Saccharomyces cerevisiae S288C: one gene and its partners. The protein of the gene in region 3 purifies or fractionates together with the protein of the main gene of each other region. This does not show direct contact. Each region holds a gene or a part of one and is shown on either strand. Other genes may lie near its edges.

Region 1 (8,196 bases), 150 kb from region 3:
CGAAGAGGGGATGTTACTGTCAAATATTGTTTAGCTCCAATCATTTCATGTCTAAAAGGTCGACCTGTATAAAAACTCGAGTTCAACAATGAAGAAAGCTTAACGATATCTTTTAGCTTGGGAAAAATTCCTTTTTTTGTACTTGTTATCATAGAATCATACTGTTGTTGTGCTACTTCGCCCAGTGGTAACTGTTTATAACATCTGAACACACCACCGATTTTGTTCTCCGCAAAATATCTACCCGTTAAAGTATTCGCCAAGATCATCATTTCTGAAACCAAAATGGTAGACAGCGTCTCCTCTTGATCCGAAAATGTTACCTCAGTCAGTTCTCCTTCTGAATCGGCGTTTAGCATCACTAGGCCCTTATTAAAGCCCTCCCCGAAAATAACAGCATTACTGTTTTTTATACGTTGTTCTCTCAATAATTTGGAAATCATGGACAAACTTTCCAAATCCTTTTTGACAGGTGATGCTTCGCTATTGGGTGTACCGAGTATCCTGTCAACATCTTCATAAGTGGCCTTTGGGAAGTTGGACACAATGCCTTTCCGGATTTTAAAACTGTCATACATAATTTCAATTGATTTTCCACTGCATTTAGAAGTGATTTTAACATCAACAGAGAAGGATATAGTTTTCGTCCTTTGTCCTTGTTTCCCCAAATCTGATAAGTGACAAATAGATTGAGGTAACATAGGAACAACCGTATCTGGTAAATATGTGGTAAATGATCTTTTCAAGGCAACATTTAGGATATCTGTACTTATACCCTCAATATCAACATTAGTGCTTTCCGGAAACATAGAAGTTGGATCCGCAATATGAATATATAAAGTGTACAGTCCATCTCTACCATAGTTTTTCACCGACACGCCGTCATCAATCTCATGCGCAGTTTCAGAGTCTATACAAAAAACCCTAAGATCGCCAAAATCGTACCTATCGTCATCAGTGCCGGATTTTTTCCATTGCAATTCTTCTATATTAGTTAAGTCGTAGAGTTTTTGTTGCCATTTCACTAACTTCGAGGAAGCAGGTAATGCTAAATCCATGTTAAGTAACAATGGATTGGGTATTGAGTTGGGTGTTATCTCATTGATTAAATCTTGACATATATCTCTTGTGATGTCACAATCCTTATAGCGTTCTATCTTTCTGAATATTTTTGAGATCAAAGCTACTATAATTCCGTTATTGTGAAAATTCCCAGCAGCAAAATCTTTCAATAATTGGATCACAGAAGGATATAAAGCTGATATATCGCGATATTTCCTTTCATTCACCAATTTTACAAACTTATTGACCTCTCTATAACTGTTGGCTTCTAGCTTCTCTATCACCTGCGCATAATATAAATGTTGTGATTTTAAGGGAATAATCGTTACTGATATAGGCGACAGCAACGCTGTATTCAGATGGATTTCCCCCCAAAGGTTCGATTCCTGTTGTTGCATAATCGCCCAGTACGTGGAAACAAAGGTAGGTGAATTTATTGGTATATCGTTTACAGTGTGATAGTTATTAACTAAACTAGTTAAGTAATTTATTCCATTTTTATCGTCCAAGGCTTTATTTAAATCCAATTTCTGAACTAATCCGACTAGGGTAAAAAAAGGAATCTGCCATGGACCCATATAATTTTGTAATGATCTGTGGAGTAACTGTAATTTTTTGGTAGTAATGGGCAAATCTTTCCAGGCCAACTTTGAAATTTGGGCTGGATACCTACTTGTTATTAGCTGCCTTGCTACAATAGGCAAAATATTCGTTTGGTTAGAAAAGTTCTTAACGGTTCCAATTGGCAAATGTTTGTGATGGCTCTCAGGCTGTATAAGTGAATGGATTCCAGCAGGTAATTTGTGAGGAATCCTCAATAACACCCGGTTTTTGGTCGCAAAGCACATAGTTCCATCAATAGTAACAAAAGTGTATCGAGGATCCATAGTGCTACTTGGAAGACTTACACACATCGCCAATTCATTGGGTCTCATTTTTAAAAGAACAAAGTCACCAACATTTAAGGGACTTTCCATTAGCTGAACAGGTTGAAATTCCATTGGGTTTGGAGCTTTCAGTTTTGTTATTAATTGAAAATCTGAATTTATTAACTTGTAAAGCGGAATTTTTGGTTTTGTTAAAGACCTCCAGGAGTTTACGTACCAATCTTCGGAAGGTTTAACATACCTATCTTTATAACGTTGGTTAAATTCCTGTTTAATTTGAGGCAGTTGTTTTAATTCAATATCAGGCTCTAATCCTTTTGTTCGTTGCAGAAAGTCTTTGTTTATTGATTCTATATCTTTCTCCGGTCCAACCGAACGGTCTACAACTGTCTCTGTAGCTTGATCATTATCTAGCTCTCGTGTGTGATCTAGTTCTACTTTTGCTTGCTGCTTACTCTTACTTCGCTGTCGTTTGCCTCTGGTAGTTACTCTGAAGCAAGGTGTGTAGGAATGAAAGCTCCTTGCAATTAGAAGAACATGTACTTTCCGCCTAACTACCATCACCTGTCTTTATTTATTCCGCTGACAGATATGCACAACCAATTATCGTCTCTTGAAAGCTTTTTAGACGTGATTGCTGTTATTTGGCACGTTGTTAGTATTTAAGCTTATTCGGGTTTGCATTGATATTTGCCCGAGCAGAAATCTCCTTCTCGATGAGTTAGAACTGAAACATCTCTTCAATTACTTATACATAATAAACATAGAAAGCCAGGACCTGTCATCATGAGTCATCCGATTCAATTTGTAAACGCTAATAATAGCGATAAGAGCCACCAATTAGGCGGTCAATATTCTATTCCTCAGGATTTGAGGGAAAACCTGCAGAAAGAAGCTGCACGTATTGGTGAGAACGAAAAAGATGTGCTACAGGAAAAAATGGAAACTAGGACAGTGCAAAATCGAGAGGATTCATACCACAAAAGAAGGTTTGATATGAAGTTTGAGCCGGATTCCGATACACAAACTGTTACGTCTTCAGAAAATACCCAAGACGCTGTCGTGCCAAGGAAAAGAAAATCTCGTTGGGATGTAAAAGGGTACGAGCCACCTGATGAATCTTCAACAGCGGTCAAAGAAAACTCTGATAGTGCTTTGGTTAATGTAGAAGGAATCCATGATTTGATGTTTTTTAAACCTTCTGACCATAAATATTTCGCCGACGTTATATCCAAAAAACCCATAGATGAGTTAAATAAGGATGAAAAGAAAGAAAGAACCCTGTCGATGTTACTTCTGAAAATAAAAAATGGCAATACAGCGAGTAGGAGGACTTCTATGCGGATTTTAACCGATAAAGCTGTTACATTTGGTCCAGAAATGATATTTAACCGCTTATTGCCCATATTACTAGACAGAAGTTTGGAAGACCAGGAAAGACATCTAATGATCAAGACCATAGATCGCGTCCTTTACCAGCTAGGAGATTTAACAAAACCTTACGTTCACAAAATACTTGTAGTAGCTGCCCCATTGCTAATAGATGAAGATCCAATGGTTCGTTCAACAGGCCAGGAGATAATCACCAATCTGTCTACAGTCGCTGGCCTAAAAACCATTCTAACAGTAATGAGACCTGATATTGAGAATGAGGATGAGTATGTTAGAAATGTAACTTCAAGAGCGGCGGCTGTGGTGGCAAAAGCCCTTGGTGTTAATCAATTGCTTCCTTTCATCAATGCAGCATGCCACTCACGGAAGTCTTGGAAAGCAAGGCATACTGGCATAAAAATTGTGCAGCAAATAGGTATACTTTTGGGAATAGGTGTCTTGAATCATCTTACTGGGCTGATGAGTTGTATCAAAGACTGCCTAATGGATGATCACGTTCCGGTGCGAATTGTTACAGCACATACTTTATCAACACTAGCAGAAAATTCTTATCCATATGGTATCGAAGTTTTCAACGTTGTACTGGAGCCATTATGGAAGGGTATAAGAAGTCATCGTGGTAAAGTGCTATCTTCTTTTTTAAAAGCTGTTGGATCTATGATCCCATTGATGGACCCAGAGTATGCCGGTTATTATACCACAGAAGCAATGAGAATAATTAGACGTGAATTCGACTCTCCCGATGATGAAATGAAAAAGACCATTCTTTTAGTATTACAAAAATGTAGCGCTGTAGAATCCATAACGCCAAAATTTCTGAGAGAAGAAATCGCGCCAGAATTCTTTCAAAAATTTTGGGTCAGACGAGTGGCATTGGATAGACCATTAAACAAAGTTGTTACATATACTACTGTTACATTAGCAAAGAAATTAGGTTGTTCTTATACCATTGATAAATTATTAACACCATTGAGAGATGAAGCTGAGCCGTTCAGAACAATGGCTGTCCATGCTGTTACTAGAACAGTAAACTTATTAGGGACAGCAGATTTAGATGAGAGATTAGAAACGAGGCTTATTGATGCGCTCTTGATAGCATTTCAAGAACAAACAAATAGTGATTCTATAATCTTTAAAGGGTTTGGGGCAGTGACGGTGTCACTTGACATCCGTATGAAACCGTTTTTAGCACCCATTGTGAGTACGATTTTAAATCATTTAAAGCATAAAACTCCCTTGGTTCGTCAACATGCAGCAGATCTATGTGCCATACTAATACCAGTCATCAAGAACTGTCACGAATTCGAAATGTTGAATAAATTGAACATTATATTGTATGAATCCTTAGGCGAAGTATATCCAGAGGTATTAGGTTCTATAATCAACGCTATGTACTGTATTACTAGCGTAATGGATTTGGATAAACTACAACCTCCTATTAATCAAATTTTACCAACCTTAACTCCAATTTTAAGAAACAAGCATAGAAAAGTCGAAGTAAACACTATCAAATTTGTTGGACTTATTGGTAAATTAGCACCTACCTATGCACCTCCTAAAGAATGGATGAGAATATGTTTTGAACTATTAGAACTTTTGAAAAGTACAAATAAAGAAATAAGAAGATCAGCAAATGCCACGTTTGGATTCATTGCTGAAGCAATTGGACCTCACGATGTTCTTGTTGCGTTATTGAACAATTTAAAGGTTCAAGAACGTCAGTTACGTGTATGCACGGCTGTTGCTATCGGTATCGTTGCTAAAGTGTGTGGTCCTTACAACGTGCTGCCAGTAATCATGAATGAATACACAACACCAGAGACTAATGTTCAAAACGGTGTTCTCAAGGCCATGTCATTCATGTTTGAGTACATTGGTAACATGTCTAAGGATTACATATACTTCATAACACCATTATTAGAAGATGCACTCACCGATAGGGATTTAGTTCATCGTCAGACAGCGTCGAACGTAATAACCCACTTAGCTTTAAACTGTTCAGGTACAGGTCACGAAGATGCCTTCATTCATTTAATGAATCTTCTAATACCCAATATTTTTGAAACTTCACCACATGCTATTATGCGTATTTTAGAAGGTTTGGAGGCACTGAGTCAAGCTCTTGGCCCTGGACTATTCATGAACTACATATGGGCAGGATTGTTCCATCCAGCGAAGAATGTAAGGAAAGCATTTTGGAGGGTGTATAATAACATGTACGTAATGTACCAGGACGCCATGGTACCTTTTTACCCCGTTACACCAGACAACAATGAAGAATATATAGAAGAACTGGATTTAGTTCTGTGAATATATATAGAGCATATAAATAACCACAACTTGTAAGAATATTTTACTTGACACACCTATATCATCACGTCACGATGCCTTCATAGATTATGATGAAATATAAACAGAACCTGCTATTGGAAAAAAAAGGGCAGGAAAAAATTTTGTGAAAGTGAGTAAAAGAAAGATGAAGAGCGAGACATGGATAATAAGAAATAGATGTCACTAATGGACAATTGGAAGACTGATATGGAAAGTTACGATGAAGGAGGCCTAGTTGCTAATCCGAACTTCGAGGTTCTGGCCACTTTCAGGTACGACCCTGGTTTTGCACGCCAGTCAGCGTCAAAGAAAGAGATCTTTGAAACTCCAGACCCTCGATTAGGTTTGAGAGACGAAGATATTAGGCAGCAGATAATTAATGAGGATTACTCAAGTTATTTACGAGTAAGGGAGGTTAATTCCGGCGGTGACCTTCTCGAAAATATTCAGCATCCTGATGCTTGGAAGCATGATTGCAAGACCATTGTGTGCCAGCGTGTAGAAGATATGCTACAAGTCATTTATGAACGATTTTTTTTATTAGATGAACAATACCAAAGAATAAGAATAGCATTATCATACTTTAAAATTGACTTCAGCACGTCTCTGAATGATTTATTGAAGTTATTGGTTGAAAACTTGATTAATTGTAAAGAAGGAAATTCAGAGTATCACGAAAAAATTCAAAAAATGATCAACGAAAGGCAATGCTATAAAATGCGGGTACTTGTCTCTAAGACAGGAGATATACGAATTGAGGCAATTCCAATGCCTATGGAGCCTATCCTAAAATTAACAACCGATTATGACAGTGTTTCCACATACTTCATCAAAACGATGCTCAATGGATTTTTAATTGATAGCACAATAAATTGGGATGTTGTTGTTTCATCTGAACCATTGAACGCATCAGCTTTCACCAGTTTTAAAACCACTTCAAGAGATCATTACGCTAGGGCGAGAGTTCGCATGCAAACTGCTATAAATAACTTAAGAGGTTCAGAACCTACTTCTTCTGTCTCGCAATGCGAAATTTTATTTTCCAACAAATCTGGCCTGCTGATGGAAGGTTCAATAACAAACGTGGCTGTAATTCAAAAAGATCCTAACGGTTCTAAAAAGTATGTGACACCAAGATTAGCAACTGGATGTTTGTGCGGAACAATGCGTCATTATTTATTGCGGCTCGGCCTTATTGAAGAGGGAGATATAGATATAGGAAGCCTTACCGTTGGCAACGAAGTTTTGCTTTTCAATGGCGTCATGGGATGCATAAAGGGAACAGTGAAGACAAAATATTGAGCAGACGACAGATTTTCATATCAATGAAGTTTTTTTACAATAGTTTACAAATCATGATTTTACATACTCAAATATGTGCAGGTTGATACAGACAACGTACGTAGAAGACAACAAACAGAAAACAGCGGTTTATACATTTATTTAAATGACATACAGTGGAGAAGCAGAGAAAGGAAAAGGAGTGCGATGAGAACAGAAGATGAATACTTCGGTTGTGTTGGTTCCACGTACACATTAATAGCATTAAAAATTGATCCTCTGAAATTACTTATGAGTTTTACGTCTTTTGGTATTTGGCGTTTTTCCACTGGCACCAATTGTAATGTTAACCTTTGGAGGGACTGGAAAACCGTAAGACTTTGCTACTTTGGCTAAATCCAGCTTATCGATTTGATAGACAGTTTTCAAAGAGTGGGAAGCGTACGCTTGTAAATAAGATCTATAACCATCCTTGGCTGTTTGATGTAGATAATAGTTGGATTTAATTAATTTTTCTAATTGTGATTGAACGTTTGCAATTTTGTTTTCCGGGAATTCGTACTCATTTAATGGGACCTTGGAAGCCTTTAGATATCTTAAAAACCCTAATTCATTAGGTGTTAAAAACATTAAAGATTTACCCTTACCTTTAGTGCCTCTTGCGGTTCTTCCGACTCTATGAATATAATCTCTTGGATCATCAGGAGGGTCGAATTGAATGATCCAGTCCACAGCAGGGATATCTAGCCCTCTAGCTGCGACATCTGTACAAATCAAGATACCTCTTTCCGCATTACAGAATTCGAAAAATGTATTTGTTCTCTTTTGTTGTTTTTGCTTACCGTGTAATTCGAGGACTGGCAAATCAATATAGTTCAATAATTCAGCGTAATATTTCACAGAGTTACAAGATGATAAAAATACAATAATTTTCTTTTTTTGATTTCTTTTCAAGAAAGAAAATAACAACAAAAATCTCTTATCACTGTCACATACCACATAGCCTTGTTCTAATCCATCTGCGGTGGAGTTGTCGGTTTCAGGAACGACATTAATGAAAAGAGGGCCCGGTCTCAGCGAGATTCTAGCCAAATCCTCAACTTTGGTCGTTTGTGTAGCTGAAAATAACATGGATTGCCTATCTTCGTTTGGCAAGATCTTAATTATCTGCCTCATTTCATCTTCAAACCCAATTTCTAAGATTCTGTCCGCTTCATCGATAATCAAAGCCTTCAAGTTCTTG
Region 2 (6,050 bases), on a different chromosome or scaffold from region 3:
GGTCTCAGGGTATATCTTTATAAAATCTCTAAATGCGTCTGCCATATTGACCGATGCACCAGATTGCCTTTGTGATTCGTATAAGGAAAGGCAATATCGCTCTGAGGTTTCCAGTACAAAATTCTCTAATGTAGGGAAAGTTTCTTCTTGATCAATGAAAACAGTTGGAAGTCTTTGCATGGGGAAGCTTTGAAACTCGAAATCGAATTGGGAATTTTGAGCCTTAATGAAGAAATATTCCCATAAGCAACTCAGATATAACAGTAGTAATACCTGGCAATCTTTTCCTCCGTTGTACGAGAATGATATTTCCCCATTCAGTGGACTCCAACGTACAAAAATTTCACTTAGTAAGTATTTTCTTGTCAACCGTATCGCTTCTTGTGTACTTGCTATTATCTGAGATTTCTGGTCTATGTGTAAGTAAGAGTTTGTTATCTCATAACACATCTCAGCAGCCTTGCTCAACTGCATATTGTGCTCCCCTATTTGTTTATTACTTTTTGCAAATGTTGCCCTCTATACCGAGAAAGTAATATCAGTTTTTTCCACTCTCAGTCAACAAAATCTTTCGAAGATTTTTCGAGGTTCTTTCTATAGACGGATCCTTAGGTTCTTGCTAACCAACGTGTTGTATATGAAACCCATCTCCAAATTTTGAGCTCTTCCCATCCTTTTGTTTCCTCGGACTCAATGAATTTGAAATCTGCCGAACAAGCTAACTAAAAAATAGGAAAATTGGAACAGAAGTTAAATGCGAGCAGGAACGTTTATTAGCGCTTTTAAGTCTAACACATATATATAACACTATTTACAAGGTTTGAATAATTTTCTACCTGTCTCTAGTTAAATTTTTTTTGAGGCTTTTGAGATAATTTTCAACAATTAGTAAGTCATTATTCGTGTCTTTATTCCATAAAACACCTACATTCACTATTTTATTTGCGCTGGACGAAACTTCCTCATCTGCACTGAGCTGTTCTCCTGCTTCAAGAAAGACATCCTCATTTAAACTTCTCATTTCTTTGACAATCTTATCCAATATATCCACGGTTTCAATATTTCCGATGACACCATTAACGCTCATCTCGGTAACCACACGTCTCAAGTAGCGAATCTCCTGGAAGTTTTCCCACAATAGCTGAACCAGCAAATTGTAGAAATCAACATTACAAATTGTTAGGTACAGTGAAGCGTCCATGTTGTTTTTACATTCATTATAAACATAGGAGATCAATGTGTACTTTCTGTCTGCCGGGAAATCAAAGTCACCTAATCTAAGCGATTTGACTATAATATATGGTAAAGTCATTGCAAGCGGTTTCGGTAGTTCTGCCGGTTTATTTATACACGCACTTCTAATGTCTTCGAAAATGTTTGAAGATTCTGCATTCATCTTTAACTCTAGGTCTTTGTTCCTTTTCTTGTAAATGTCTAGTGATTGCTTTAGGTATCTTAAAAGATCGTAATCACTTTTAACAGCTTCCCTCAAGTAGTCAATGTGAGGTTCTAAAACCTGATCCAGTGTGGTTTGGTACCGAATCTTATTACCAATTTCTTGCATCACTTCCTCGCTAAATTTGACGTTGGAATGTGCAACTGGCTGCCTCAAAGCTTCCATTCCCGAGCCCTTGCGCAGATTAAGATTCAGCAATTCTCTGTTGCTTTTATTAATGCTATTATCTTCGTCAAATATCTTTTCCAGCAAAGTTCTTGTCTGCTCACTTATCGTTTTAGTGCTAATAGCAGAAGGTTCTGCCCGTTCGTAGACATAGTCATTGCCTGCTGTTTCCTTCAGGAATTCATGGTCCTTATTTGGAAGCTTCCTTTGAGCTCTTTGACTGTGGTTAAAAACAATTTTTTCTTTTTTTACACTAGTTCCCTCGGAGTTGTCCTGTAGCCCATTGTAATACTTGTCAATTATTTTGCTAGCATTAGTGTGCCTCATGTTTTCAACCCTTGCTCCAGCTTCGAATAGTTCTCCAAATACCTTACGTTCCTCTTCGAGAGCTTGTTCAAATGTCTTTTCATTTGAAACTCTTTCTACGTTGTGAGTTTTTCTATCTTTCAAATTGGCTTCATTCAGCAAGCATCTATGGATGCAATGTATGTATCTATAGTTACAGTTTTTTAATATAGATGATGTTCTGATCATTGTATGGCGTGTTGTACTCTTCCTTAGTTCCCTCTTCTTCCTTTACAATTATCTCTCAAGTATAGCAAGCGTTGTCACATCACAGTTTTCGGCCTTGTTCGCCTAATTACATTTTTCTGAATAAATACGTATGTATGCTGCGAGTACTAGATACTGTTGATAAATGGTAACATAAATACTCTAGATCGCAAAAGCGCATGGAAGTTGAGCAGTAATATAATTTTAGAGGAATATGGTTATTATACTCCCTGAGAATAAGTGCACATTGGATGGGAAAATTTCGTAAAAAAAACTCTTGTAAAGACAATTGTTTCCTTAATAGCTATTATATAATCCAATTTGGTTAGAGTTTTGTATGCCGATTATTAACGTTACCCAAAAATAATACTGTCATACATCGGCTTGTTCTTGTTCGGCTTGTTTAAAGAAAAATTGAACGTAATAAAGTTTTGATATAGCATCCCAAAATGTACACTTTTTATTTAATTCATCTACTCCATCGTTATTATTGTCCATGTCATTGTTTTCGCTGAATAATATTTCGTTTGGAGGTAGCTCAATAGCAATATTTTCAAAGGGTTCATACGCAATAACGAGAAATTTTTTTCCCTTCTGTTTGGTATCTGATAGCTCTAAACCAGATACAATCCTAATGAGAGGAGGGACTTTAGCCTTATCATCGCTATCGACACTATTTTCTTTGACTTCACTGCTATAATTTACCTGGATAGCCAAACCTACTGAACCGTTCTTCGGGTTTTTCACGGTAGCTATTTTACAAACAGGGATCGTACCGTTATTCTTTAAAGATTGCTTAGCTTCAATTATCTTTTGTTGTTGTCGGAAATCATGAGTTGTTTGGCCTTCTCTCCCTAGAGAACTTTTCTCTATACTGATACCACGCCTTAACACATTTAAACCATGTTTTTTACCACCCAAATGCCTTTCAACGCTGGACCACGACATGTGCATTGTATTACATAGTTTACAAACCAGTTTACCGGAATGATTCTTGTAAATGTACGGATTGGACCTTACTTGATCGTCCTTTTCATCTTGGAAAGTGTACGGGACATTTTCGCCTTTACTAAGTAATGATTCGACTTCTTTCCTTCGTTGTAAGTTAAACTGAGATTCTGAGGCTATACCACCACCTCCTTTCTTTGACCCAACGCCTTCTAAATAGTTCATTTTGAATGTATGGATGCGTTAAATGATTTGAATTTGCTGTTCCACCTGCCCTTCTTACATTAAGCTATTTGTGAGAGCCTTGCGTCTTTAGCAGATTTTTTTTTTTCATTTTTTTAGTGAGATGGGCGGTACATGTAATATTTCACCCGGTACAATGAAAATAGCAGAATGTAAATAATATTTGACTACAATAATTGAAAGGAAAACAAAATTGTTTGCCATACTATGTAAATTGATATTAATTTGGCACTTTTAAATTATTAAATTGCCTTCTACTTAGAGGGTTTTGGGATGTTCATCTGATGTAACGACATACACGCCCTTATCCTTCTCTTGGCATTTAAAGTTCTTGTTCTTCAAATCGTTCCATTTCTTATGCGGAATCGTCCAGCCACATTTTTGGGCTACCATAGCTGCAATGTCATCACAGTACCCCAAAAGAGATAAATCAAATTCTGCGTGCTTGACGGGATCACGATTAATCAGGACTTGGGGAACGTGGGAAGGAACCATGTTTACGATTTCAGACACTGGCGCTACTTTTAAACTTGTCCCAATGCAAATCAACAAATCACATTCTAAGATATCTTCGCGAATGCTCTTATGAAATTTATTTGGCAGTGCTTCGCCAAAGAATGTGATATCTGGTTTGAGAACGCCATATGAGTTAAGGATATATGGAGGCCTTTCCGACATTGAACCCTGTGATGCAGCAACACCTACTTTATTATTATATCCCTCTGGGAAATATTCTCTTCTTTTTTTGTAACAGTACGGGCATAGTGGAAGTTCGAGGTTTCTAATTTTATTAAATATCCTCTCACCGGGTAGGTTCCAATGGCAGGTAACGCAGGTGGCAGTAGCAAAAGAGCCATGGCACTGCACCAGTTTATCTGTGCTTATTCCCGCATAAGATTCCAAATTATCAATGTTTTGAGTATAATTTCTCAATAATTTCCCTTTCATTTGTAGCATCTTAATGAAACTATGCAATGGAGAATAAATTTTTTCTGGAGGTAAAACCATATTGGCAATATTATAGAAAACAGAGGGGTCGTGCATAAATATATTGTAATTGAAAACGTCTTGGGGATCATCGAGCCCCAAATGTTTGATCTTTGAATAGAACCCCTCAGAAGATCTGAAGTCCGGGATCCCTAATGAAGTTGAAACACCTGCACCAGTCAGGACCAAAATTTTTCTAGCGGTATGTAATTTTTGAATAAAATGATCAATAGTGAAAAAATTGGATAATCTTAATCTTGTACATAGAACTTTGTTAATTGCTCTTTGCAAATCTTTGATTAGACGAACTGTTTGCTTTTTTGCCAATGGGTCTTCAACATTTGTGACAGATATTGCACTTCCCAAATCTTGAACACGCTCTTGCGAGTTGATATGGACAATACTGTTGATGGTGCCGATAAGCGCTTGATCTTTAACTTCAAAGCCTAGCAACTTGATAAGATAGTAAATGTATAACGAGTTCAAATCCTCGGGGAGGTAAGTGTCTAAAAATTTGTGTGCACCATAGTATTTCAGAAACATTCGAGCATTGAGAGACTCTCGTTTAGTGAAGGAGGGACCATAGAAAATACCATTTGATGGGTTTTTACTGATTATGATTGGCCCCTTGGGCGTCTCTGGTTTCAAAACGTCATTGGACATTGACACTACTGAAGCTGCTGACACTGCCAAGGGATCCATGTCATTAGTTGGTTTGAGCTCCATCGATGCCACTTCTCCGAGCGCAGCTTTAGTGTGCCCAAGTGGATCTGTTGTGTTGGTTTCCCTCAAGGAATCCGGCTGTGCTACTTTTATCTTCTTATGTGAAGGTTCATCATTATTTATAATGTCATCGGGTTGTTTTCTGATCGCGTCTTTATCTTGTGTGGGGCTTACTGTATTTGAAACCTTATTTTCGCTAGTCTTTGATACGGCGTATTTCATATGTGGGATGGTCATCCAGCTTTAATGTGCCGATGAGGGAAAAATGGTTTGAATGTGTCTACCGAAGCGATGCCTAATTTCTTGAAATACGTGAGAATGGGCTTTACATCTCTTCACTAAATATATTTTTCTTGGGTGGTGAAAAAGACAAGTCTTTCAAACTATGCGACCTAGAAAAAAAATATTTTACCGCAACTGGCGGCCAAAGAGGACAAAGAAAAATTCCTCGTTTTTTCTCTGAGATGGGAAAGCAAGAATTTTGGCAAGAAAAGGTCCTGGCTGTCCTGGACCATGGTTGGAAGGAGTGCTAGATGTAGCTTGGAAAAGAAATGACCTATAACAATGTATCTTTTATGAGCATATGCGCATGCATATAAGCATATACATAAAAAATATATACATAAATTAAGTAAGAGTTAATTGACACATTGAGGAGTTGCAGGCTACAAGTAATACTGTAGAATTTCGTTCTGGGAGTGAGGCTCCAAGGGAGAAAGACTGCTAATAATCATTTCTTTCAAATTAGAGCTTCCGATCGGAACATCATCGCGATAGCGATACAGAAATAGCAGGCCATTTATATCATTCTTACCGAATTTTTCTTGGTAGAAATTCAGCCAATCGAAGCTATTGTTAGATATTTCGTTTAATGGGAAATTTTCAGAATACTCTTTTTCAAGGCTCTTCGTGACTACTTTCTTCAAAATTGGATCAAAGGGGGTGTCGTTTCTTGTGGCATGTAACAAAACAATGG
Region 3 (7,064 bases):
TTGCATGCTCAGGATGACCCAATTGTCGGAGGTGATCTTCCTATAGACCAAATAAAATCCAATCCATACACTTTGCTTCTAGAAACTTCGACGGGGGGGCATGTTGGATGGTTCAAAGACAGATCCGGCAGAAGGTGGTACGCAGAACCCTTATGCAGATTTTTGAAAATATTTCACGACGAAATTACTGTAAAGGGCTTAAAACCTGACTTGGAAAATGTTCAACTCCCAGATCCTAATTGCGAACCCATAGCCACAACCTTTCGCGCGAATTAGTTTGTAAATAAGTCAACTTTTTAGATGTGTAACCTGATAATTTTTTTTTTTGATGTTCGACATCATTATTTCTGAATGAAAACGTGAAAAGCTTCGCCAAACTTAAAATGGAAAATTTCGAATGGAACAAAATATAATCGATGCGATGAATTAAAACCTTGGAAGAAGAGGGTTAATTGTTAAAATTACATATATAATTGGCAGACAAGAATAAAAAATGCATGAAGTAGTAACGATATCGGTTTCGCAGAGAGCAAACCATTTGACTACTCAATTCTTCAATATACAAGAGGGCTATTTACAATTGTCTAAAGAACAACAAGTCAATGACTCCAAAATTTTTCTGAATTCGGTTGTAGATAAAGTTTCAAAAACAATTTCATATGCACCACGTGCCTTACTTTGGGATGCCCGTACAGGTAATGGTTCACTAGGAACATATCAATATTCAGAAAGCCAAGACTATCATTTCGGCAATGAAGACAAATTCAAGGAGCAAACAGTTATAAAGACTCATCCAAGAATACCTAAATCCGAATATCAGAGTTCTCTAGATGCAGGAGCACCGCTGCCTTGTTTGAACAGAGAAAATACGATGTATTGGTCTGACTATTCTAAACTTATCTATGGTCCTTCAAGTTTCAATATTTTGAGAAATTGGTACCATGACACTGAAAATCCAAACCAACCTGACTTTCAAAACTTGGGGGAGCGAAAGTTTGACAGGTATTCCATTGGTTATGACGAATTTACCGAAAATTACTTGCAAGAGTTTTTTGATGGAAATTTGCATAGAGAATTGGAAAAATGTGACACCCTGCAAGGCTTCAATCTTGTAAGTGATATGGAGAGTGGATGGGGCGGGTTTTCTAGTGCTCTACTGGTGGAATTAAGGAATGAATTACCTAAAAAGGCGGTCTTTTCATGGGGACACAATGAAGATGATCCATTCACAGATGACTTCCCTATGAAAAGACTTTCAAAGAAATGGCTCCCGATCATTTCGAACAAATTAAGAAGCACAATAAATATGATGCAAGAATCCGATCTTTACTTCCCATTGTATGCTGCTCCTGGACTAACTAATTGGGAAACTGCTGGAAAGAGCTGTAGGATATTTGATTCTATAAATGCGACAATTTCCCAAAGCAATCTTGAACAAAGAAAGACAATGGATTATCTAACAACTGCCATTACCTTAGGATATTCGTCGCGAAATATGGTCACTGGCATGGTTATCGGTGACACCGATTACTCATTCTGTTCTCGAGTACTTCCTTTCAAGAATAGCCACAAACCAAATTCTACTCACATATTTTCAAAAAGTTTCATTGATAGAGGAAATCAAACGCATAAACATCATTCCGAACCTGATTCACGGAGTAAGATGATTGAAATGTATACACACAGGTATTTTCCATCTGATACGATACCGACAGAATTTTCCAATGATCGTGAATTTGTTTTGGAATTAGAATCATCTGAAAAAAATCGAGATATATTCAAACATTGGAATGAGTTTGTGGTAAGGTACTTCAAAAATGATAGTGACAGAGAAGAATTGAAAAATGAACTTTCCGATTACGCCTCAGCGTACGAATCTGGGTGGTATGAAGACGAAGATTCTGGTGATGACGATATGTGATAAGCAGTTTGCAGCTACGTATTTCCTTTCTCCAGTTGAGGCAAACAGGACTTCTTCCATCTTTTTCGAAGTTTTTACTTCGCCATTTGATCTATATCTACGTAAATTACATTAATTAGAAAGTCATGCTATATCACTCTTGCCCTTGAAAGCATCCACAGCTGTCCGTCAAAAACTTAATTTCTCAAGTGGAGGAGAAAATTTTACCTCTTGAACTTAAAGAATGTAAATCTTCATTTGCGTCTTTAAAGTCATCGTTTTGATTTTCACCAGTTGCTGTTTTTTGCAAAAAGGATTTTCTATTTCCAATGCTACTGCGATCAGAAAGACTAGATATTGGTGCAAGTCGCAGAGAATTTGATCTAGCAACGTCGATTTTATCCAAGCCAACAATATTCTCCTCATCAGGATCTTTGATTTTATTCGCGTCATCTGAAAAAGTTTTCAATTCATTTAATAAAAATGTGATATTAGTGACACGAGATTTCACTGATTGAGAACCCCGAAAAGAGCCATCTCTTTTCATATTATTTGGAATATTCTTTTCATTCATAGTTTTTTTCAAATCGCTAACTTTTGGTGCGGTGGCTCTCATTGTTTTCCATGATCTTGCGTCCTCAGCAACAAACCTATAGATACTACCTTTTGCATTAGCATCAGAAATTACAGTATCGTTAGCTTCTTCTATATTGTCATCTATGCTGTTGTCGAATTTATTTTGCTTGGCCGCAAAATCGTTGTTATCATACACTGCTTTCCCATTTGAAAAAATAGCATTAGGGACATTCTTGTACTCCAGAGGTGTAGTACGAACTTGAGAGTCCGACAGTAAATCAGAAGTAGAAATTTGATTATCACGAGACAATAAAATCTGCGCCCCCTTCTTGCTGTATTTATTTGATCCAGTATCAGAATAGTATGACAATAAATCTTCCTTGGTAAACAAAGTTCTAGTTTGCATTTTGTACTCAGTTTGTGACTTGTAGTCATTGAGTTTTAAAAAGTTAGCTGCTTGTAAATGGTACGAATAATAGGTATACTCAGGCTCAGAAACGTTCTCTAGAAAATAATTCAAACCGGATAATAGTGCCATTTTTCCATACTTGTCAAAGATCTCTTCCATCATTTCTTTTTGCACACCATGTGAATCCAGTTCACGTAATAATGAGTACAGTTTTGAAAAGAGAATGCTGCTTGGAACCTCAGTTTCAACAATGTTAAATAAACATATAATGTGGTTTTTCATGTAATGCGCCAAGTCGATGAATAATTCCAAACTGATACTTGGCTGCGTAATATGTTCAACGAGGAAATCAATATCTTCCACAACTGCATTCTTTTCAACATCCTTGACGGTGTCACTTTTCAATTTCAATAGTAGTTCATATAACATATCTGAGGTCTGTTCAGCGTAATAAGTTTTATGGTTAAGGTCTGTCATGGTGATACAAGACTGTGCCACAACTTCTTTATTAGTTGCATTTTTCAACTGGAAATTTAAAAGCTTTCTCATTATATCAAGAACACTCAACCCCACTATACTGACATCTGAAACAAGTAATGACGACATCAATTTCAAGGAAACAATTGGATTTACATTTTTATCCTTGTCGCTTAGTTGTCTGACCAAAAGAAGTATAACAATATATCGTAACTGAACAGGTATACCATTGCATACAAACTCTAGCAGTTCCTTATTAGGTGTACTTTGCAGACAGCGCAACAGAGTACGAATAGACAAATTCAATTTGTCTGTCTCAGTTGTGTTAAAATAGGATTGCAATGCTTTTACTGAAAGGTCATGATTATCTTCGGCGGCCTTATCTAACCCAATTGTACGAGTTTGTGTTCGACTTAGCCTTTTTCCTAAATTGCTCTCCAGAGCTGCTTCCAGCGACAAAGTTTTAAATTTCGGATTTCTCTCTTGGAACTTTGAAATAGTATAGGCAACAGACTTGGAAACAAAGTGGTTTAGTTGTGGGTTGCTTGAAACACTATTTGTGTTTGATATATCAATACAGCATTTCAGAAGCATGTCATCATTATGAATTCTTTCAGTAACTATTTTAAAAAAAAGATCAACAAAGTTCTGGTATAACTGGACGAATTCCATGTCACCGTTACACAAGACGTCGTCCAAGTTCTGGCATATACTACTAAATGCCAGTTCTATTAATTCAACAACAGATACATCATTGTTAAAATTGTTGTTGGAAAGAACTTTGTTCATAATGTACAAAAAATCTTTAACAAATACATTCAAATTCTCCTTACAATGCAACACAATTTTGTTCATTAAATCCAATGTAACGGCTATGTTCCCTATGCGCCGATGGTTCAAGTCGGAAGTGGAACGCTTAATCAGGTAAGTGCTAACTTTCTCCAATTTACTACGCCTCGAGTTAACGTAATATAGCAAATATGAAGTTTCCGAAGATTTAGGCTTCTTATCTGTGGTCCTTCCCGTAGGATAACATTGATTGACCAGTTTCTGATGTTTTGGTGTGAACATCATCCGCATAGACAACTGCATCGCAAACCACTTTCAGAACAATTGAAAATGAACGAAAGATGAATAATAGAGCGAATGATCTGGGTTCAATATACAGTCTGCCACTGAATTAATACTACTCCAATAGCGGGGTTGCTCACAATACTTTCAATTTATCCTGGCTGCCTGGCTTTTTCAACAAAACCATTACCTTCCTAGTAGTTCGAACAAAATTTTCTTCCTCTTCCTTTGGCCGGGGTTGAAGTTTAATGAAAAATTAATGCTATGAACTATTATGACAAAAAAGCATATGCGACTCAGGAAGATAGTAAAGAAAAAAAGCAAAACATTTCTAAGAGGACTATACTAGCATTTCAAGATGCCCCCCGTACCAATATACGTGAAAGGCGGTGTATGGACCAATGTGGAGGATCAGATTCTTAAAGCGGCTGTACAAAAATACGGAACTCATCAGTGGAGCAAAGTAGCATCCCTTTTGCAGAAAAAGACTGCCAGGCAGAGTGAATTAAGGTGGAATGAATATTTAAATCCAAAGTTGAATTTTACAGAGTTCTCGAAGGAGGAGGATGCCCAACTTCTAGATCTTGCAAGAGAGCTGCCTAATCAGTGGAGGACCATAGCTGATATGATGGCCAGGCCTGCACAGGTCTGCGTCGAAAGATATAATAGGCTATTAGAAAGTGAAGACAGTGGAGGGGCTGCGTTAAGTACAGGAGTTACTGACTTGAAAGCCGGGGATATTAATCCTAACGCTGAAACTCAAATGGCTAGACCAGATAATGGTGATTTGGAAGATGAGGAAAAGGAAATGCTTGCTGAAGCTAGGGCTCGTCTGTTAAATACCCAAGGTAAGAAGGCTACAAGAAAGATTAGAGAGCGGATGCTCGAAGAATCAAAACGCATTGCTGAACTACAAAAGAGGCGTGAGCTAAAGCAAGCAGGAATTAATGTTGCCATTAAGAAACCGAAAAAAAAATACGGCACCGACATTGATTACAATGAAGATATAGTATATGAACAAGCTCCCATGCCAGGTATATATGACACGTCCACTGAAGACCGCCAGATAAAAAAGAAGTTTGAGCAGTTTGAGAGAAAAGTCAACAGAAAAGGTTTGGATGGTAATAAGGATAAGCCAAGTAAAAAAAATAAGGACAAAAAAAGAAAACACGATGAGAACGAACACGTTGAGAAAGCAGCACTGGGTGAATCTACTACATTGACGGATGAGTATAAAAAACCAAAACTTATACTATCTGCACCAGGAACGAAACAGGGAAAAGTCACCTATAAAAAAAAGCTAGAAAGCAAAAGACAAAAACTAATCGAGGCACAAGCAACTGGCACTGTGTTGACACCAAAAGAACTACTACCCCACGACTCCGGCCAAGAAGATAATGAACGCAGTAATATAAAGAGTGGTAAACAGCTAAAATCACGCATACGAAAATTTTTAGTGCAAATGTTCGCATCTTTGCCTAGTCCCAAGAACGATTTCGAAATTGTATTAAGTGAAGACGAGAAAGAAGAAGATGCAGAGATAGCGGAATACGAGAAAGAATTTGAAAATGAAAGAGCGATGAATGAAGAGGACAACTTCATAGAACCACCATCTCAAAATGATGCGCCACGCGTCTCATTAGTAGCCGTTCCATTAGCTTACTCAACGCTACCCATACCAGAATTCAAAAACAATCCGCAGTCCGCGATTGACAATAAGTACAACTTGCTAGTCGCGAACGCCATAAACAAAGAACCTCACATGGTACCAGAAGATACGGTAGATTTTCTCAAAGAGGTGGAGTCGCGTATGCAGCATATAACCCAAGGGCGCACTTCCATGAAAATACAATTCAAAACAGCAATGCCCCCAACTGAGGTTCTTCTGGAATCGATCCAATCAAAAGTGGAGTCTATTGAACAGTTACAGCGTAAACTACAACATGTGCAACCACTGGAACAACAGAATAACGAGATGTGCAGTACCCTCTGCCATCACAGCCTGCCCGCTTTGATTGAAGGGCAACGCAAGTACTACGCTGATTACTACGCCTACCGACAAGAGATACGATCGCTTGAGGGTCGTAGAAAGCGTCTTCAAGCCATGCTAAATTCTTCTTCTTCCATATAGCATTAGTATAGCATTAATATAACTTTTATGAACTAGGACATAGAGGACTTGTGACAACGCATTACCCGGAGTTAGAACGTTTTCTTGCCAAGTTGGCCACATCGGCAAACCAGCGATGGTAATAAGATGTAGTACTGACAAAACATGGTGGATAGGCCAGAAGAGCGTGCATTGGCTGGCGAAAAGATCGAGGACAATGATTCCAAAATTATATATACATTTGATACTATCTTTATTGTTGTTGCCGCTAATTTTGGCGCAGGATTATTATGCAATACTAGAGATAGACAAAGATGCCACTGAGAAGGAAATCAAATCAGCGTACAGACAATTGTCTAAGAAGTACCATCCGGATAAAAATGCTGGGAGCGAAGAAGCCCATCAAAAATTCATTGAAGTCGGCGAGGCATACGATGTATTGAGCGATCCTGAAAAGAAAAAGATTTATGACCAGTTTGGTGCAGATGCTGTAAAGAATGGCGGTGGCGGTGGCGGTCCAG
Region 4 (10,859 bases), on a different chromosome or scaffold from region 3:
CTCATTGTCTTATATTTTAAAGCTCAATGGGCTGATCCTTGCAAAACTATGAGCCAGGTGCTAGAAGCTGTTAGTGAAAAAGTTAGGCAAGAGGATGTCCGGTTTTTATCAATAGATGCAGACGAACATCCAGAAATATCAGACCTTTTTGAGATTGCAGCCGTACCATACTTCGTCTTCATTCAAAATGGTACTATTGTAAAAGAAATATCAGCCGCAGATCCTAAGGAGTTTGTGAAAAGCTTAGAAATTCTTTCGAATGCTTCTGCCTCACTAGCGAACAATGCCAAGGGTCCTAAATCTACGTCTGATGAGGAAAGCAGCGGGTCTTCCGATGATGAAGAGGACGAAACTGAAGAAGAAATAAATGCTAGGCTGGTGAAGCTAGTACAAGCTGCACCTGTGATGCTATTCATGAAAGGAAGCCCATCAGAACCTAAATGCGGATTTTCTAGACAGTTAGTTGGTATCCTCAGAGAACACCAAATAAGGTTCGGATTTTTTGATATATTAAGAGACGAAAACGTTAGACAAAGCTTGAAGAAGTTTTCTGATTGGCCTACTTTTCCTCAGTTATATATCAATGGGGAGTTCCAGGGAGGTTTGGATATTATCAAGGAATCTATAGAAGAAGATCCTGAATATTTCCAACATGCTCTACAGTAAGCCTTATTTTGTAATGAAAACTATATTCATACATATATACATATTAATATATATGTATATATTTTTATTTATTAATTTATTCTAGAATGTAATGTGCATAGATTTGTGTGGAATATTTCCTGGGGTTTTCTCGTCAAATTTAAAGAGTAAAAAGTTAGAGTATTTCCAGATCTGAATCTGAAAGGGACTCACTGATAACTGGCGCTTTACGCGGCTGTCTCTGGGACAGAATTTCACATAGAGACTCGTCTTCGTCGCTTCTACCAAATGTTTCATTGCCAATATTATTGCTGTTATCGCTATCGCTATCGACAATAGGGTCATCATTAAAAGAAGTTTCTTCGTCTTCAAGATCGTCGTTAGCCATCATCACATTTCTTTCATATTGGTCAATCAACATGCGAAGCCTTCTGTCCCTTTCCTTTTTTTGATCCTCTAAATGGTCACAATTATTGCTATCATTATCCATCAATGGTGCTAGTCCATCCTCCACAGATAGTGCTTCGATAGGCCCGCCTATCCGATCCACAACGTCGATTCCGTTCTCAACTTTCATTATATCACTAAATTTGTCCATGGTTTGTTTGGGCCCCGAGGAGCCACTCGGAAGATTCTTCAAATAATAGAGAATGTATTTTTTTTTATAACTCTGACACTTTCTAATTAGAGGTGCGTAGTAGCCAAATTCTAGAGTTATATTCCTGAAAGAATGTACCGCGTTGTACTTATAAAGACTAACATTTAACCAATCTTCAGCTTGAACTTTAAATGAATTTTGTAATTTTCTTACTTTCCATTCTCTTGGAAAATAAACCGTTCCATGATTATGGCCTTGTTTACTGATGTTACGAAAGGTTTTGCGCACTTCTCGTAAACCATACTCATTGGATTCTGGTAGACCATTCATATTATCACACTCGCTCAGGCAATCCACAATTGATGATGCATCAGAAATGCTGAATTCGCCTTTATTAAATGTGTTATAGTTCTCTAATATTCCTAATTTGAAATCCTCTTTCGATAACAAATTGTTCGAATTTTCGAAGAGGTTATTAATCATTTCGTTATCGTTATTCGTGCTATGGGAACCATGTATCACCTTCCCAATGGCATGAAAGTATGATATGGTGGATTCTCGGGTTGAAATCGGCAAACTTCCACTTGATGTCGCCCAAAATTGAAGGGTCGTAATGGCCGACCTAATATCACCAGTCTCTTGCGCAATATAATCTATGACTTCCTGTCTTTTATTCCATTTATTTTTCTCCTTCAACATTTTCATATTCTGTACACAAATAAATTTCAAGTGCTTTTTTAATAAAGTGCTGTTAATTGGATTAAACTTAATTCTTTTCAACCTTGGATGCATCAATATTTCTTTGTTCATTATGGTTTCTGCACTAAATGTATAATCAATACCAAATTTGCGATAATTATTATCGTTCTCTGGAATTTCACATTCAGTTATACATATAACAAGGGGAGGTAATAGAGGCTCCGAACTATATAGCCACTGTAATATAAGTTGTTGAAATCGACGTCTGGTATCTATATGGAAGACGTTGGGAAGGTCCTCGATAAGTATTAATGACAGGTTGGACATCACAAGATACCGTGCGCCTTTTAAGAACTCACTAAAGCTTTCCATCTGAGGAAGATCGTTGACTATACAATCACCTCTAAACTCGGTCACTTTATGCTCGTTCGGGGTGCTTCGAAAGGACGTTCCGTTGCTGTTTTGTCTGTATTTAGGAACTAAGATTTTTGAGAGTTCTTTTATGACCGTACTTTTAGAGCATCCACTGGGGCCAGACAGTAGTAGGATCCTATGCTTGGCGTTAGGTAAAAACATGGCATCTAAAGCTTCTTGTACATCTTTAAGTTTTCTTTTATGTATGGCCACTTGCTCCAAACAATTGGGCTTGAACTTTTCGTACCACTGTTCACCGCCGTCGTCGTTGATACTTGGGAGGATACTAGACGTATCTTGCTTGGAAAGAAAGTCATTTTCAGTGCTTCTCGCCTTACGAACTGGCGAAGTCGGTCTAGATGAGCTCCATTTTGTTATTTGCGAGCCCAATGAACTGAGACTATATTGTAATAAGGGCCGTTTGTTCAAATTCGTACTATCCATATCATTCAGACAGGAACAAACTTGATAATTAGTGGTGTTGAATCAAGTACTATTAACGCATTGTGATGATCTCTCAGATATCAATGCGTGTTTGCTTCTTTGACGATCTAATATTGAATATTGTCGCTCTTTACGAGAATATTAAAAATTTATGCTACTAAAGCTATGTCTACTATAAAGGAATAATACACTAATAGAGATAATCTTGAGTAAAATAAGGTGAAGGTAAATATAAGTAATTGCTTTGGAAGATTTACCGTGAGCCTTCGTTATTAAAAATGACTGAGCATGAAACGAAGGATAAGGCCAAAAAAATTAGAGAAATTTATCGTTATGATGAGATGTCCAATAAGGTGTTGAAAGTTGATAAACGCTTTATGAATACCAGCCAAAATCCTCAAAGGGATGCGGAAATATCACAACCAAAATCCATGAGTGGTAGAATTAGTGCTAAGGATATGGGACAGGGCCTGTGCAATAACATTAATAAAGGACTAAAAGAAAATGATGTAGCCGTTGAAAAAACTGGAAAGAGCGCATCATTGAAAAAAATTCAGCAGCATAACACCATTTTGAATTCTTCCTCCGATTTCAGGTTACATTATTATCCAAAGGATCCCTCAAATGTCGAAACTTACGAGCAGATTTTGCAGTGGGTTACAGAAGTTTTAGGCAATGATATACCCCATGATCTTATTATTGGAACTGCTGATATATTCATCAGACAATTGAAAGAAAATGAGGAAAATGAGGATGGTAATATTGAAGAGCGAAAGGAAAAGATCCAGCATGAGCTAGGCATCAATATAGACTCCCTGAAGTTTAACGAATTAGTTAAACTTATGAAAAACATTACCGATTATGAAACACATCCTGACAATAGCAATAAACAAGCAGTAGCAATTCTTGCCGATGATGAAAAATCAGATGAAGAAGAAGTAACAGAAATGTCCAACAATGCTAATGTTCTTGGGGGAGAAATCAATGATAATGAAGATGATGATGAGGAATATGATTACAATGACGTTGAAGTCAATTCTAAAAAAAAAAACAAGAGGGCATTGCCAAACATTGAAAACGATATAATTAAACTCTCCGATAGTAAAACAAGTAATATCGAGAGCGTTCCGATATACTCAATCGATGAATTTTTTTTGCAGAGAAAACTTCGGTCAGAGCTTGGTTACAAGGATACCTCTGTAATACAAGACCTGTCAGAAAAAATTTTGAATGATATTGAAACACTTGAGCATAATCCAGTAGCGTTGGAGCAGAAGTTGGTTGATCTGCTTAAATTCGAGAATATATCACTGGCTGAATTTATTCTCAAGAATAGATCTACAATTTTTTGGGGCATACGACTGGCGAAGAGCACAGAGAATGAAATACCGAACTTAATAGAGAAAATGGTTGCAAAAGGTTTGAATGATCTTGTGGAACAGTATAAATTTAGAGAAACTACACACTCAAAGCGTGAACTCGATTCCGGTGACGACCAGCCACAGTCTTCGGAAGCAAAAAGAACAAAATTCAGTAATCCAGCAATACCGCCCGTCATAGATTTGGAAAAGATTAAATTCGACGAAAGTTCTAAATTAATGACCGTGACAAAAGTATCCCTACCGGAAGGATCATTCAAAAGGGTGAAACCACAATATGACGAAATACATATTCCAGCTCCTAGCAAACCTGTTATTGATTATGAGTTGAAAGAAATTACTTCTCTACCAGATTGGTGTCAGGAGGCGTTTCCTTCATCGGAAACAACGTCCTTAAACCCTATACAATCAAAGGTTTTTCACGCAGCATTTGAAGGTGATTCAAACATGCTAATATGTGCACCCACTGGTTCAGGTAAGACGAATATCGCGTTATTGACGGTATTGAAAGCCTTATCCCATCATTATAACCCGAAAACTAAGAAATTAAACCTTTCTGCATTTAAAATTGTTTATATAGCACCCTTGAAAGCCTTAGTACAGGAACAAGTCCGAGAATTTCAAAGGAGGTTGGCTTTTCTAGGTATAAAAGTCGCTGAATTGACTGGTGATTCTAGGCTTAGTAGAAAGCAAATTGACGAGACGCAGGTTTTGGTGTCTACGCCAGAGAAATGGGACATAACTACTAGAAATTCAAATAATTTGGCCATCGTAGAACTTGTTCGTTTGTTGATTATAGATGAAATACATTTGTTACATGATGACAGGGGACCAGTATTGGAAAGCATCGTGGCTAGGACATTTTGGGCTTCCAAATATGGCCAGGAATACCCCAGAATAATAGGCCTTTCTGCCACCTTACCAAATTATGAGGATGTCGGTAGGTTTTTAAGAGTTCCGAAGGAAGGATTGTTTTATTTTGACTCCTCATTTAGACCGTGTCCTCTATCTCAACAGTTTTGTGGCATTAAGGAACGGAACTCCTTGAAAAAGCTGAAGGCTATGAATGATGCTTGTTATGAAAAGGTATTGGAATCCATCAATGAAGGTAATCAAATAATCGTGTTTGTTCATTCTCGAAAAGAAACATCACGAACAGCAACATGGTTGAAAAATAAATTTGCTGAAGAGAACATTACTCATAAATTAACCAAAAATGATGCAGGATCGAAGCAGATTTTAAAGACAGAAGCAGCCAACGTACTCGATCCAAGTCTACGAAAGTTGATTGAAAGCGGTATAGGGACGCATCACGCAGGGCTGACCAGAAGTGACAGATCCTTATCTGAAGATTTATTTGCAGACGGGTTGTTGCAAGTATTGGTATGCACTGCGACGTTAGCATGGGGTGTTAATCTACCTGCTCATACAGTGATTATAAAAGGAACAGATGTCTATTCACCTGAAAAGGGGTCCTGGGAACAACTTTCTCCACAAGATGTACTTCAAATGTTAGGTAGAGCAGGCAGACCGAGATATGACACATTTGGCGAGGGTATTATAATAACAGACCAATCGAATGTTCAATATTATCTCTCGGTTTTAAATCAACAATTACCAATAGAATCGCAATTTGTTTCAAAATTAGTTGACAACTTAAATGCAGAAGTTGTCGCGGGTAACATTAAGTGCAGGAATGATGCTGTGAATTGGTTGGCGTATACTTACCTATATGTCAGAATGTTAGCTTCCCCTATGCTTTACAAAGTACCTGATATTTCAAGTGATGGGCAATTGAAAAAGTTTAGAGAAAGCTTAGTCCATTCGGCCCTATGCATTTTAAAAGAACAAGAGTTGGTGTTATATGATGCTGAAAATGATGTAATTGAGGCGACCGATCTAGGAAATATAGCGTCGTCATTTTACATAAATCATGCTTCCATGGATGTTTACAATAGAGAGTTAGATGAACATACAACTCAGATTGATCTTTTTAGAATATTCTCAATGTCGGAAGAGTTTAAGTACGTATCGGTGAGATATGAAGAGAAAAGAGAACTAAAACAACTTCTAGAGAAAGCACCCATTCCTATCAGAGAAGATATTGATGATCCTTTAGCAAAAGTGAATGTACTACTGCAGTCTTATTTTTCCCAGCTAAAGTTCGAAGGTTTTGCACTTAATTCTGATATAGTGTTTATTCACCAAAATGCTGGTAGGTTATTGCGTGCTATGTTTGAAATATGCTTGAAGAGAGGATGGGGACATCCCACACGGATGTTGTTAAATCTTTGCAAATCTGCCACAACTAAAATGTGGCCAACAAACTGTCCTTTAAGACAGTTTAAAACATGCCCTGTCGAAGTGATTAAAAGGCTGGAAGCCTCTACAGTACCGTGGGGAGATTATCTACAGCTAGAAACACCTGCCGAAGTTGGTCGTGCAATCAGATCTGAAAAATATGGAAAACAGGTTTACGATTTATTGAAAAGATTTCCCAAAATGTCCGTAACATGCAACGCTCAGCCAATTACCCGTAGCGTTATGAGGTTCAACATTGAAATAATAGCCGACTGGATATGGGATATGAATGTACACGGTTCCCTTGAACCTTTTTTGCTCATGCTAGAAGACACTGATGGTGATTCAATACTTTATTATGACGTACTATTCATCACTCCAGATATAGTTGGTCATGAATTTACCTTATCCTTTACTTATGAGTTAAAGCAGCACAATCAAAATAACTTACCACCTAATTTCTTCCTTACTTTGATATCAGAAAATTGGTGGCACAGTGAATTCGAGATTCCAGTTTCCTTCAATGGATTTAAACTTCCGAAAAAATTTCCTCCTCCTACTCCCCTTCTGGAGAATATTAGTATTTCAACATCAGAGCTTGGCAATGATGATTTTTCCGAAGTATTTGAATTTAAAACTTTCAACAAGATTCAGAGCCAGGTCTTCGAGTCTCTCTACAATTCGAATGACTCGGTCTTTGTAGGTTCAGGAAAGGGCACAGGTAAAACAGCTATGGCTGAATTAGCACTGTTAAATCATTGGAGACAGAATAAAGGAAGAGCGGTTTATATCAATCCGTCTGGGGAAAAAATTGATTTTTTGCTATCTGATTGGAATAAAAGGTTCTCTCATCTTGCTGGTGGTAAGATAATAAATAAGCTAGGAAATGATCCTTCACTAAATTTAAAATTATTAGCAAAAAGCCATGTTCTCTTGGCTACCCCCGTGCAATTTGAGCTTTTGTCACGTCGTTGGAGACAAAGGAAGAACATCCAAAGTTTAGAATTAATGATATATGATGACGCTCATGAGATTAGCCAAGGTGTTTACGGTGCTGTGTATGAAACGCTAATTTCTAGAATGATATTTATAGCAACCCAACTTGAAAAGAAAATTCGATTTGTTTGCCTTTCGAACTGTTTGGCAAATGCTCGTGATTTTGGTGAATGGGCTGGTATGACGAAGTCAAACATCTACAACTTTTCTCCAAGCGAAAGAATTGAGCCTCTTGAAATTAATATTCAGTCATTTAAAGATGTTGAGCACATATCATTCAATTTTTCGATGCTTCAAATGGCATTTGAAGCATCTGCTGCTGCAGCGGGAAATCGTAATTCCAGTTCGGTGTTCTTACCATCTAGAAAGGATTGTATGGAAGTTGCGTCTGCATTTATGAAGTTTTCAAAAGCAATTGAATGGGATATGTTGAACGTTGAAGAAGAGCAAATTGTACCATACATTGAAAAGTTAACAGATGGTCATCTAAGAGCACCTTTAAAACACGGTGTTGGTATTTTGTATAAGGGGATGGCATCAAATGATGAAAGAATTGTGAAAAGGTTATACGAATATGGTGCGGTATCGGTTTTACTCATTTCTAAGGATTGTTCTGCATTCGCTTGTAAAACTGATGAAGTGATTATTTTAGGAACCAACCTTTATGATGGTGCAGAGCATAAATATATGCCATATACCATAAATGAACTTCTAGAAATGGTGGGACTAGCTAGTGGTAACGATTCAATGGCAGGCAAGGTTTTAATTTTGACAAGTCACAACATGAAGGCCTACTACAAAAAATTCTTAATTGAGCCTTTGCCTACTGAGAGTTACCTACAGTATATTATTCATGATACTCTGAACAACGAGATAGCAAATTCTATTATACAAAGCAAACAAGATTGTGTTGACTGGTTTACATATTCGTATTTCTATCGTCGTATCCATGTGAATCCAAGCTATTATGGCGTAAGGGATACGTCTCCACATGGAATTTCAGTTTTTTTGAGTAATTTAGTTGAAACTTGTTTGAATGACTTAGTTGAATCATCCTTCATTGAAATTGACGATACAGAAGCTGAAGTAACCGCAGAAGTTAATGGAGGAGATGATGAAGCAACTGAAATCATTTCTACCTTGAGCAACGGGCTAATTGCTTCTCACTATGGCGTATCATTTTTTACTATTCAGTCATTCGTTTCTTCTTTATCGAATACGTCAACGCTCAAAAACATGCTGTATGTTCTTTCAACAGCAGTAGAATTCGAAAGTGTTCCACTCAGAAAAGGAGACAGAGCATTACTTGTCAAATTAAGTAAAAGACTACCATTGAGATTCCCTGAACACACCTCTTCTGGTTCGGTGAGCTTTAAAGTTTTCTTATTGTTACAAGCATATTTTTCACGTCTTGAATTACCTGTCGACTTTCAAAATGATTTAAAAGACATTCTAGAAAAGGTTGTTCCACTAATTAACGTAGTGGTTGATATCCTTTCAGCAAACGGGTATTTGAATGCTACTACCGCCATGGATTTGGCGCAGATGTTGATTCAGGGTGTATGGGACGTTGATAATCCGTTGAGACAGATTCCACACTTCAACAACAAAATTTTGGAAAAATGTAAAGAAATTAACGTCGAGACGGTCTATGATATAATGGCCCTTGAGGATGAAGAGAGGGATGAAATTTTAACGCTTACTGATTCACAGCTTGCGCAGGTCGCCGCGTTTGTTAACAATTACCCCAACGTTGAACTTACTTATTCGTTGAATAATTCTGATTCGTTAATTTCAGGTGTAAAACAGAAAATTACCATTCAATTGACAAGAGATGTTGAACCTGAGAACTTACAAGTAACATCTGAAAAGTATCCGTTTGATAAGCTAGAAAGTTGGTGGTTGGTTTTAGGTGAAGTATCTAAAAAAGAGCTTTATGCGATCAAGAAAGTTACTTTAAATAAAGAGACTCAGCAATATGAATTGGAATTTGACACTCCGACATCTGGTAAACATAACTTAACAATTTGGTGTGTCTGTGATTCATATCTTGACGCAGATAAAGAGTTGTCCTTTGAAATAAATGTGAAATAAAATCATTGTTTAGTCCTGGATAATCGAATGGATTTCAATATATAACATTCTCTTGCGGCTATTTAATCTAATTGTGATATATACAGTTTATAGCAAAAGCGTATCATTGCATCACTGCATTTCTATATCTTCATCTTCATCTTCATCCTGTTCTCCTTCTTTGTTTTCGTTTTCAATAAATCCACCTTGATCTTTTCTGCTATTCTGGTGCTTTATTAAATCTTCATAACTCCAAACAGATACACCCTCTTGGTCTTTAGGGTCTGTGGGTTGTGCCATTGTTCTCAAGAATTGTTTGGTATTGGATATGGCCATGTCAGTCGAAAGGTTCAAATCGGCGTCAGACAAACCTTGAGCAATCCATTTTGGTAACTGGCTTCTTTTTCTTGAAAACCTACGGTCTGCTAGTACCATTACACCATAGTCGTCCTTCCCTCTCAGTACTCTCCCCAGACATTGAGCTGCATGTCTCATCGCATCGAAAGATAAGAAGTCGTTTTCTCTGATGCGATAGTTCTCCCTCATGAATTCTAGGCGAGCTTTCAAAATACGCGATTCTGTGTATTGAAACGGGATACCTATCATCAGCACAGTTCTGCCATATTGATGATCAAAATCGATACCTTCAGATACCTTTCCTCTAGCAACAGAAAGCAAAATTGCCCCACGCCCATTTGAGCAAGCCTTTCTATAGGTTTCTAAGGCTAAAGAAGTTTCTTGAGCATCAGGAGTCTCAACTAAAATTAATTTATGTTTCCAAACTTCGTCAAGAATACCCATTGTTTGCCACATTGAAACAATACTTTCCATATATAGATATGAGGGGAAAAAAACAACCATTCCATCAGGTGTGATCTTGGCAAACTCTACTAGCATAGAACCGTAATTACGAACAATACTAGGATCGTTTCTGATTTCAAATCTTGAAGAAATTGCAACTTGATCAGAACCCTTGGTAATAATCATTGGTAGAAATGATTTTTTGGCTAAGGTCATGGCATATGATTTTTGTAAAACAGTTTTAAAGTTTAACATTCTTGGATACATGTCTAATGGTGATATGGTCCCTGAAGTGATAATAACGGAAGAAAATCTCTCAAAGACTGGTTTGATGGCAATCGATGCATCTAAGCAAGTAAATCTCATAATCGGATTCGGAACTGCAGCATTTTCGATTTCATACGGTTCAATAATTAGTAAAAACCCTTCCTCATATGTTGATATAAGAGTAGCAAAAGTTGCTATGTCTTTCAATGCAGTAAAATCTTCTACCTCTGTAACTTCTAAAG

What was found.
Region 1: the proteins of CEF1 (region 3) and HSH155 purify together in Saccharomyces cerevisiae (affinity purification with mass spectrometry, with the first as the bait; 4 studies listed by BioGRID). This does not show direct contact.
Region 2: the proteins of CEF1 (region 3) and PRP11 purify together in Saccharomyces cerevisiae (affinity purification with mass spectrometry; 2 studies listed by BioGRID). This does not show direct contact.
Region 4: the proteins of CEF1 (region 3) and BRR2 purify together in Saccharomyces cerevisiae (affinity purification with mass spectrometry; 4 studies listed by BioGRID). This does not show direct contact.

Annotation. Positions count from the first base shown.
Region 1 is NC_001145.3:842,836-851,031, forward strand, and holds HSH155 (U2 snRNP complex subunit HSH155), read left to right. Parts: upstream 1-2,735; coding exon 2,736-5,651; downstream 5,652-8,196. Other genes in the region: DSS1 (exoribonuclease II), read right to left, coding at 1-2,510; aminodeoxychorismate lyase ABZ2, read left to right, coding at 5,850-6,974; ATP-dependent RNA helicase HAS1, read right to left, coding at 7,239-8,196. UniProt on the Saccharomyces cerevisiae protein: Contacts pre-mRNA on both sides of the branch site early in spliceosome assembly.
Region 2 is NC_001136.10:373,135-379,184, forward strand, and holds PRP11 (spliceosome assembly protein PRP11), read right to left. Parts: upstream 3,347-6,050; coding exon 2,546-3,346; downstream 1-2,545. Other genes in the region: FAD1 (FMN adenylyltransferase), read right to left, coding at 1-474; MTF2 (Mtf2p), read right to left, coding at 833-2,155; NAD-dependent histone deacetylase SIR2, read right to left, coding at 3,623-5,311; peptide alpha-N-acetyltransferase complex A subunit NAT1, read right to left, coding at 5,740-6,050. UniProt on the Saccharomyces cerevisiae protein: mRNA splicing factors, PRP9, PRP11, and PRP21, are necessary for addition of the U2 snRNP to the pre-mRNA in an early step of spliceosome assembly.
Region 3 is NC_001145.3:688,590-695,653, forward strand, and holds CEF1 (Cef1p), read left to right. Parts: upstream 1-4,791; coding exon 4,792-6,564; downstream 6,565-7,064. Other genes in the region: MGL2 (putative carboxylic ester hydrolase), read left to right, coding at 1-276; DML1 (Dml1p), read left to right, coding at 494-1,921; EFR3 (Efr3p), read right to left, coding at 2,106-4,454; SCJ1 (Scj1p), read left to right, coding at 6,761-7,064. UniProt on the Saccharomyces cerevisiae protein: Involved in pre-mRNA splicing and cell cycle control.
Region 4 is NC_001137.3:528,241-539,099, reverse strand, and holds BRR2 (ATP-dependent RNA helicase BRR2), read left to right. Parts: upstream 1-3,078; coding exon 3,079-9,570; downstream 9,571-10,859. Other genes in the region: monothiol glutaredoxin GRX4, read left to right, coding at 1-666; RAD24 (Rad24p), read right to left, coding at 821-2,800; TFIIH/NER complex ATP-dependent 5'-3' DNA helicase subunit RAD3, read right to left, coding at 9,682-10,859.